2 linked regions of the Notamacropus eugenii genome follow. The protein of the gene in region 2 purifies or fractionates together with the protein of the main gene of each other region. This does not show direct contact. Links are inferred from orthologs where the notes say so. Each region holds a gene or a part of one and is shown on either strand. Other genes may lie near its edges.

What was found.
Region 1: the proteins of RAB27B (region 2) and SYTL4 purify together in Homo sapiens (co-immunoprecipitation; 3 studies listed by BioGRID and IntAct, counting the BioPlex papers as one, with this or other methods). This does not show direct contact. The link is inferred for Notamacropus eugenii from reciprocal best matches to the Homo sapiens genes RAB27B and SYTL4.

What each region holds. Positions count from the first base shown.
Region 1 is NC_092879.1:92,449,510-92,453,418, reverse strand, and holds the start of SYTL4 (synaptotagmin-like protein 4), read left to right. Parts: upstream 1-1,469; 5' UTR 1,470-1,657; intron 1,658-2,361; exon of another isoform or gene 2,362-2,366; 5' UTR 2,367-2,475; intron 2,476-3,472; 5' UTR 3,473-3,909. UniProt on the Homo sapiens protein: Modulates exocytosis of dense-core granules and secretion of hormones in the pancreas and the pituitary. Interacts with vesicles containing negatively charged phospholipids in a Ca(2+)-independent manner.
Region 2 is NC_092875.1:436,370,778-436,374,686, reverse strand, and holds the start of RAB27B (ras-related protein Rab-27B), read left to right. Parts: upstream 1-1,387; 5' UTR 1,388-1,810; intron 1,811-3,909. UniProt on the Homo sapiens protein: Small GTPase which cycles between active GTP-bound and inactive GDP-bound states. In its active state, binds to a variety of effector proteins to regulate homeostasis of late endocytic pathway, including endosomal positioning, maturation and secretion.

The sequences.
Region 1 (3,909 bases), on a different chromosome or scaffold from region 2:
ACTAAGCCCTGAGCCACAGGAGCTCTCACCCCATTCTCCGTTATTCTCCATGATCTTAGCAGGGGCCCTTGTTGACCACTCAGGAGGGAGTTACACAGGCTAACCCTGCTTTAGGGTGCAAGGCTGCAAGACTGGCAAATGGTGCTTAGACTGAGGTAGACCATGCAGTGTTCATGGTGCCAGTGGTTCTCCAGTTCAGGAAAGGGCTAGTTTAGTGTGAAGAACCCAGCCTGCTTGTAATGAGTTTCAACATAGACTTTCAGGTCCTCCATTCCTAGAACACTTACGCTTGTGGCTGTGGTTGTCGGATTCCAGTATTAAAATGAGGGCTGGAGGAACCCACAAGTCTGTACCCAGGAGGTAGCACTCTGCATATGCTGGTCAGAGAGGAAGCTTAGTTGGAGTGAATTGTCAGGAATCCCACCTTTGACACTCACTGGCTGTGTGGCCCTGGGCAAGTCCCTATCATCTTTCCAAGTCTCATTCCTTTGTTATCAAGGGGAAATAGTAATACATCTGTAGTCCCCTCCTCCCTAGAGGTTGCTTTGGGATCTTAAGACATAAGGGTCCTCACTTTGATTGTTCCTGTATGGGGAGGTCTGTTTTTTTTGTTTACTAAATATCCCAGTTCTTTACCCAGAAGGCAGACCTACCAGGCCTGCTCCTGTGGTTTGTCAAGGCTGAAGAATGAATTGCTTCTGACTCCTTAGGGAGACTACAGGATGCTCTTTGAGTGTAGCCTGGGTTCTACAAGGCCTTCGCTCCTTGGCATTGAGGTATTCTGTTTGGTTTTGGTCGCTGTTGCCTGGCGTGTTTGTGTAGGGTGAGTAGGGGGACAAGTCTAGGGAGCAAGACTGGTCCCAGGCCTTGGGAGAAGAACATGGCCAAACAAAATCCTGCCTGGGCAGGTGGTGTCACAAATCCACCCATACTGAAGTGGAGCAGGGATCTCCTGGCCTGCTGCTGGGACAGTCTCCGAGGAGCAGGGCTGGGGGCTGGAGGGGGCTCACTGGCACGCTCTGGGGGAGCCCTAGGGCCTGCAGTGGCAGTGACTGTCCCCTGGATTGGGGGCTGGAAGAAGGGGCGAGGGCCTTGGCCCGACAGCTGGGAGCCTTGTGCCTCGGTAGGCAGCCGCATTTTAGACTGTCACTTGTTTGTCCTAGCAGACCGAGTGGGCACGTATCCCCAAAAGATGTATTCGATTCCCCGTCGAAGCCGGCGCACACACGGGCCACACCGGAACACGAACACACGGACACACACAGGCACACACGCCCTCATTAGAAATCCAGCCTGCCCGAGCCGTCGGGAGGGCAGGGCAAGGGCGGAGCCAGCTCGAAGCCGGGAGGGGGGAGGCCCGGGGCTTCTCCAATCGCGAGCCGGAGCGCGGGGGGTGGAGGTGGGGCCTCCCCGAGAGTTAAGGGGCGGAGTCACCGGCTCCCTTTAAATAAGCGGCCCCGCCCCGCTCCCTGGAAAGTCGTGTCCCTTTCCGCCTGCTTCGGTTGCGCGAGCCGAGCCACTGGCGGCTAGCGGTAGCCGGGACCTGGGCGAGAGACGGGACCCACAGAGATACAGAAACCGAGAGCCAGAGGGAAAGCCCGACCCGCTGATCTCCGGCCCCTGCCGAAGTCCCACCGCTCCCCGCATCTCCAGCCAGGTGATTCCGCGGCTCCTCCGCCCCACTCTCAGAGGCTCCATCCCGGCTTGGCCCCGGGCCCCTGCCCAGGCTGGCCTGCCCTCCCCTTCCGCTCCCGCTGCTCCCGGCTCAGCTCCGCTCTCTCCGCCCTTTTCCTCCGCTCGCCCTCGGGCTTGTTCCCTCCTGCCCCTTCTTTCTCCACCCTCTGTCCTTCCCACTCTTTTCTCCCCGGAGCTTTTGACTCCTTGGTCTCTCCACTCAAACCCGCCCCGACCGTCGGGGTCAGTTGGAAATCCAGCTGTGCCATTTAACCGGCTCTGAGTCCTTAGATAAGTCACTCCCTTTCCCCTGCCTCAGTTTCCTTGTCTGTACAATGAGGGAAGATTGGAGTAGGTGGCCTCTAAGGTCCCTTCCAGGTCTAGAGCTACAGTCCTGTGATGCTCACTCTGCCGGGAGGGAGCACCCCCTTGCCCCTTCCTGACTGGTGCCTTCCCGTTCCTAGACTTCCCCTGGCGCATTTTACTTCCCCCAGCTCCCTGTCCCTTTCCAAGTTTCCCTGCTTCAGCTCATCTTTCCCTCTTCCCCCTTCCGGGCTCTCTTGGGTGCTCTGGGCCCCACCCCTCAGGTCTCCTGTCAGAATACTGTCTCCCTGTGCGCTTTGAGGGGAAAGGGAGCATGAACCAGCATCCCACCTTGGCTGAGGGTAGCCTTTCCTTTCCCTTCAGCACAGATTGGCCTGAGGTTGTGCCTCGCAGATCCCCTCTGGATCGTTGGACCGTCAGGAGGACCTTAGAGGCTGATCTACGGCATCTCCTCTTCCTTCCCTTACCCCTGCCAAGGTAAAGTTCGGAGGCTTTTTGTGTAGCAGGATGGTCCAAGGCAGTGTCCGTTCCTCCTGGGGCTGAAGGTCTGCTGCTAAGAAATATTTAGGGAGAGGTCTGCAGGCTGGCTTGGAGGACTGAGGTCATTTTCCTTGGTCCTCCAGACCAGACAGTATAAGCCTGAAACATCACTCTGGGAAAAAGAGGCACAGAGCATTAACAGTCGTAACTGGGAGCGTTTTTAGCCACTGGGGGGGATTCCTTCCCGCCAAGGAAGGGCTAAATCCTCAGAACCCCAACCTACCCACCTAACCCAAGCACCACGAGATGCATTGGGAGATTCTTGGGAAAGATATGTTTTCCAATAGAAAAAGCTCCCAGACTTCTGTTGTTTAATGAGATGATTGCCTTTCATAGCATCTAGCCCTAGTTGAATAAATATGTGGGCTCAGTAAAACCAATTACGGTGACTTGAATAGCCTTTAAAAAAAAATCAGGTATCAGAAGAAGGAAAGATGGCATTAGCCCTGGTGTAGTAAATGTGGATTTGAGAGCCTGCTGATCTGGGGAAAGAGGGGCCAGACCTTTAATTTAATGAATGTACCCAACTCCCCATGAGAGGAAACTCTACTGTAGGCAGATGAGATGTGAGGGTGGGGCTCAGAGCACCTAAGGGAACCCTGAAGGGGGAAAGGGGAAAGATGAACTGAACCAGGGAACCTTGGAAAGAGAGAGGGGAGAAAAGCAAAATCCCCCTGCTCTGCCACTCAGAACCTTAGAGAGCTAACTGCCCAGGGTCACACAGCCAGTATATCTCCGAGGCAGTACTTGGACCCAGGTCTTCCAGATTCAAGGCTGGAAGTGGGGAACACTCAGAACCATCAGTCATGAAGAACATTTCATGCTCTGCTTCCTCCCCATCAGGAAGGAGGAAGGGGAAGAGATCTCATGCTTTGTCCTCTTCCATCAATGTGTCTCTTAACTTTGCTTTAACTGTTTTTTCTTTTGTTTCAAGTGAGTATTTATGGGAAGTGGGAATGGAAGTGGGGTTTATATCCCGGGATGACTTCATTGTATATGGAAAGCATCAATGAAATGACAAAAACCCAAACCTGAAGAAGGATCCAAGCTGCACGAAAGCCTCGTTCTTCTCTGAGGGCGTTGTTATGCTCCTGAGCAGGGTGATTTCCTATTAGACTATCAGCAGGACATTTGTCGGTCTTTTATGATATCTGGGTAAGCAAGATGAAGGAACAGTAGGTGGGATCTGTAATTATTTGGCACTCTATTGAAAAACTGGAGAGAAGTATTTAGTGGTGTGCCATCAGGCTCTGCCCTTTGCTCACTTCTGTTCAGTTTTATTAATGGCTTGGAGGAAGAAGAATAATCACAAAGTGTTTTGTAGGCTGTACTGTTTGTTACTCACAACAACCCAGTGAAGTAAGGAGGGAA
Region 2 (3,909 bases):
TTAAGATATCATTCATTTCATCTTTTAAAAATCTCTAATCATTTTATAATGTACATAACATATGGGTATAGTAGTATCTGTAAAGCAACTTCATTGTGACTTCATTGTTATAGGAAACTTTTTGGTGAGGAAACTCCCTCTACCAAAGCGAGCTGATGTCTTCTCCAAAACTTATAATCTTACCAAGTTGCTTAGAGCACTTAGAAGTTAAGTGACTTGACTAGGGTCATACCATCGGTAAGTGGCAGAAGTGGGACTTGAAATCAGATTTTCCTGGACTGGAGCCAGCGGTCCATGCCCTATGTCATTCTGACTCTTTTATACATTAATAATAAAACACTGGCCATTGACACAGGATCAACATTTTTTTAGACTAAGAGGGAGATGTGATTAACAATAAAGGAAGTCTGGGGATCTTTGCCTACAGAAGAAATGGACAGACCTGTTTGGAAGTCACGTAGCTTCTATCCCAGGTCTCCTAAAATTCAGTCTCATACCCTTTCTGCTACTGCCCTAGATACAATGTTGCTTCACATTCGTTTGTTGATTCATTTTGGCCTCATACTTAATTCTGCTTCCACTCCCCAAATGGATCATGGGGATAGAGGGTGTAGAAATAACAAGGGAAGCAGGATCTAAGACCTCCTAGCCACTCTTCCTCCTCAACTTCCTCTCCCTTTCTCCCCCTCCGTTCTTCCCCCTCTTCTTTCCTCCCCTCTCCTCCCTCCTCCTCCTCTTCCTTCACCCTGGGGCAATGGCTCTGTGGTTAAGTCTATTAGACACACCTAAACCAAGTGAAAATCAAGGAAACCAATCAGACTGCATTGTCAACTGTGATGCCAAAGACCTCCTTTGTCCTTCCTTTCAAAAATGTGTATTTTATTTATTTATTTTGCCAAGTTGATTCCATTAACTGGCTGTGGGGGTTTCATCTAGAGTAGACACACACAGCCTTAGCCAGGTTCCATTACCATCTGCAGAACAGAGTTTTAGCAAACACAGGTACAAATATTTACTCAAAGTACCAGAAGTCTTGTAATAATTTACGTGTTAGATCGCTTTGGCATTAGCCTTTGTTATTATTAACCAAACTTGTGAGATGTCTGCAGGAAGCAGGGCTTGGGCTGTGCATAGCGATAGCCTCAGGACTCTCAACTTTAACAAAGCTTAAGTCCCTTTCCTCCTTTTCACCCCGACCCTTCCTCTGCCCCCTAACCCTAACCCTCCCTCCCCGTAGCTAAGGCTCTTTGGGGAATACTGTGGTTTGGAAGCGTTTCCCTCCAGTGCCCAGGGCCCTAGAAAGAAGCGGCTGCGTAAACGCAGAAGATAAACGACCAGGATCCAGCCGTGTGCTAAGACTTGCTGCTGGAGAATTCCGCCAGCAGCCGCCGAGCGAGTTGTCTTTCCAGGCAGCTGAGTCACAAACCAGATTTGCCGGAGGTGAGTTCCTCATATCCTCGTTAAGGCTCTGGAGGCACGCCTTCTTTCCATACAAACCTTTCAGATAGAAGCTGCTTCAGCCGACTTCAAGGGGGTGGGTGGTGCCACCGGAGAACTGCAACTGCCAGTCTTGCCGGACGGGGTCTGGGAGAGAAAGGCAGAGGGCACCTCGGGATTCAAAAAGAGGGTACCTCTTTCCCCCACACACCCCCTATGACTGTCGCTTGCTAAACACCCAGTTCTGCTTTCTACTGCCGCGGTCGCACCCCGAGAAGCTGCACAGCTGGGACACCTCTGGCTGAAGGGAGAGGGAGCCGGCTGGGAAACCCGACACCCAACCCTCGGCAAGCCAAGGAAACTTCGCACGCTGGTGAGTTGGGGAAGCCGAGCGGCCGCCGGCAGGCAGTGATGGCTGGAATGCGCTTCCCCCGCTCAGTGTAGACGCGTCGGCCAGCTCGGTAGCCGGCTAGGGAGGAAGTGAGACGTGGAGACCGAGGTGCTGTGGGCCTGCAAAGAAGCAGACAGCTGCTGGGGTTTGTGCTTTCTCAGGCTTGGCGTGGCAGCCTGGAGACGCGCGGTTTCCAGCCCTAGTCCGACAGGGAGAAGGCGTTGGCATGCAGGGCACGCAGCAGCTGGAAACTTACTTGGAGGCTTTTGTGGGATATTTGCATTTGAAACAGCTGGATTTGTTTAGTTCCTTTTTTTACAGTAGTGTAATGCCAACTTCTTTCAGCTTGGTGGGATGTCAGTTAGAAATAACATGTTTCTGATCTGATCTTTAGAGAGAAAATGAGATTGCCTAAGGCAAAAGAGTCCAGTTGAACCTTTCACTAGGTTCAGAAAACTCAGGAGTAATATTTATTTCCCACTTAAAAAAAAAAAAACTTATTTGCTTTTGTTTTGAACTAAATTTGGCATCTTTTATTTTGATTCAAGGGGTCACAAGGTATTAAGCTTCATTCAAAGGATTTCTCAATCACAATATTGGGAGTCTGAAACCTAAGGATGTCCATGCTAAGGAAATGCTCAGTTTAAAAGGCAGAGAATGTGTCAATGAAAGCAACTTCTGATAAATGCCTGCTACCTGAGAGCACAGAGCCAGCTGTTTCTGTCCAGAGCTAAAATTAGTTGCATGACCCTGCAGGTGCTTGTAAGAGATGTCATCAGGCCAAAAAGGAAGCTCTGTGCCTTTAGTGTTATGGACAAGAGAACTGACATATAGGTCATTCACATCTGAGTAGCAGAGTCCCCTTTCCCTCAGGGTGCAGTTTGTCAGCCTAAAGTAGTACTCAGTATGAGTCAGATTTTGATGATCTAAACTTTGAAAAGTGATAGATGAAAGCTTTTTAACCAATCAATGCTGGATTTTACAGCTCTGTATTTTGGGACATGAGTTTATTGTACTAGCAAGCTGTGACATTGGTAAGCTAGTCATCACCCATAAATCATAACAAAGCTATTTTAAGGCCAAGTAGAATGGGCGAAATGATAACTAGCTTCATGCCATTTATGGCATTTGCCCCCAAACAGTTGTTCATATTCCGTAAATGTTTTCTCCTCCTCTCCATGAGATCAGGCCTCCCTGCTGCAAAAAGGAGAATCCTATAGAGCTGAAAACATATTCCATTCATGGCTGAATAATTTAATATTAATAAGCTTTTTTGCTTGCTAAAATATACTATGCACACTGCACTTGAGTTTTTACATCATTGCTTTCAAAAGGAGCACAAAGCAATTTCCAGAAGAAACTGGATGAGCCTGTTCTAGTAGTTGCCAAGGAGGGATAAAAGGAAACTGTCAAAAACCTGAGCAAATGACAATTCCTCCTTCTCATCAGTTTTTTCCCCACCCCTTGGACCCAAACATGTTTGACTTGACAGAAAAGGAAACCTTTTGGAAACGGATATTTCTTCTCTGCAACTTAAGTCATTTGAGCAAATGCAAAGTTAATTTGCAATGTTGTCCTAAGATTTGCTTTTTCTGGTTTAATGAACTATTTGGGAAAGTGGAAGTGGCCTGAAAAAAATACTGAAAAAAAATCTGCTTATTTTTAATGTTCAAACAGGGAGACTTCTGCTGAATTTCATTAATCTAAATACTAGTTTACTTGACCCAGATTCTGCAACAAAATGTTAAGAGATTGATAATGCAAGTGGGAGGGTTCTGATCTGGATTAATCTAGTTCTTTGAGTTTATTGGCTAAAGATCTGATATTTTAGCAGTAGTACAAGATAGATGGCTATTATAGCACTGCCTTAGGGAAATAAAGAGAGAAAAAACAGAGAAAGTATAAAAACAGTCCTTTGCAGTAGTGATGATATATGGTACAATGGTTAGAACCCTGGGCTTGGAATCAGGAAGACCAGAGTTCAAATATGACCTCAGGCACTTACTAGCCATGTGACCCTGGACAAGTCACTTACCCTCTGTGTTAGTTTCTTCTACTGTATGATAGGGATAATTATAGCA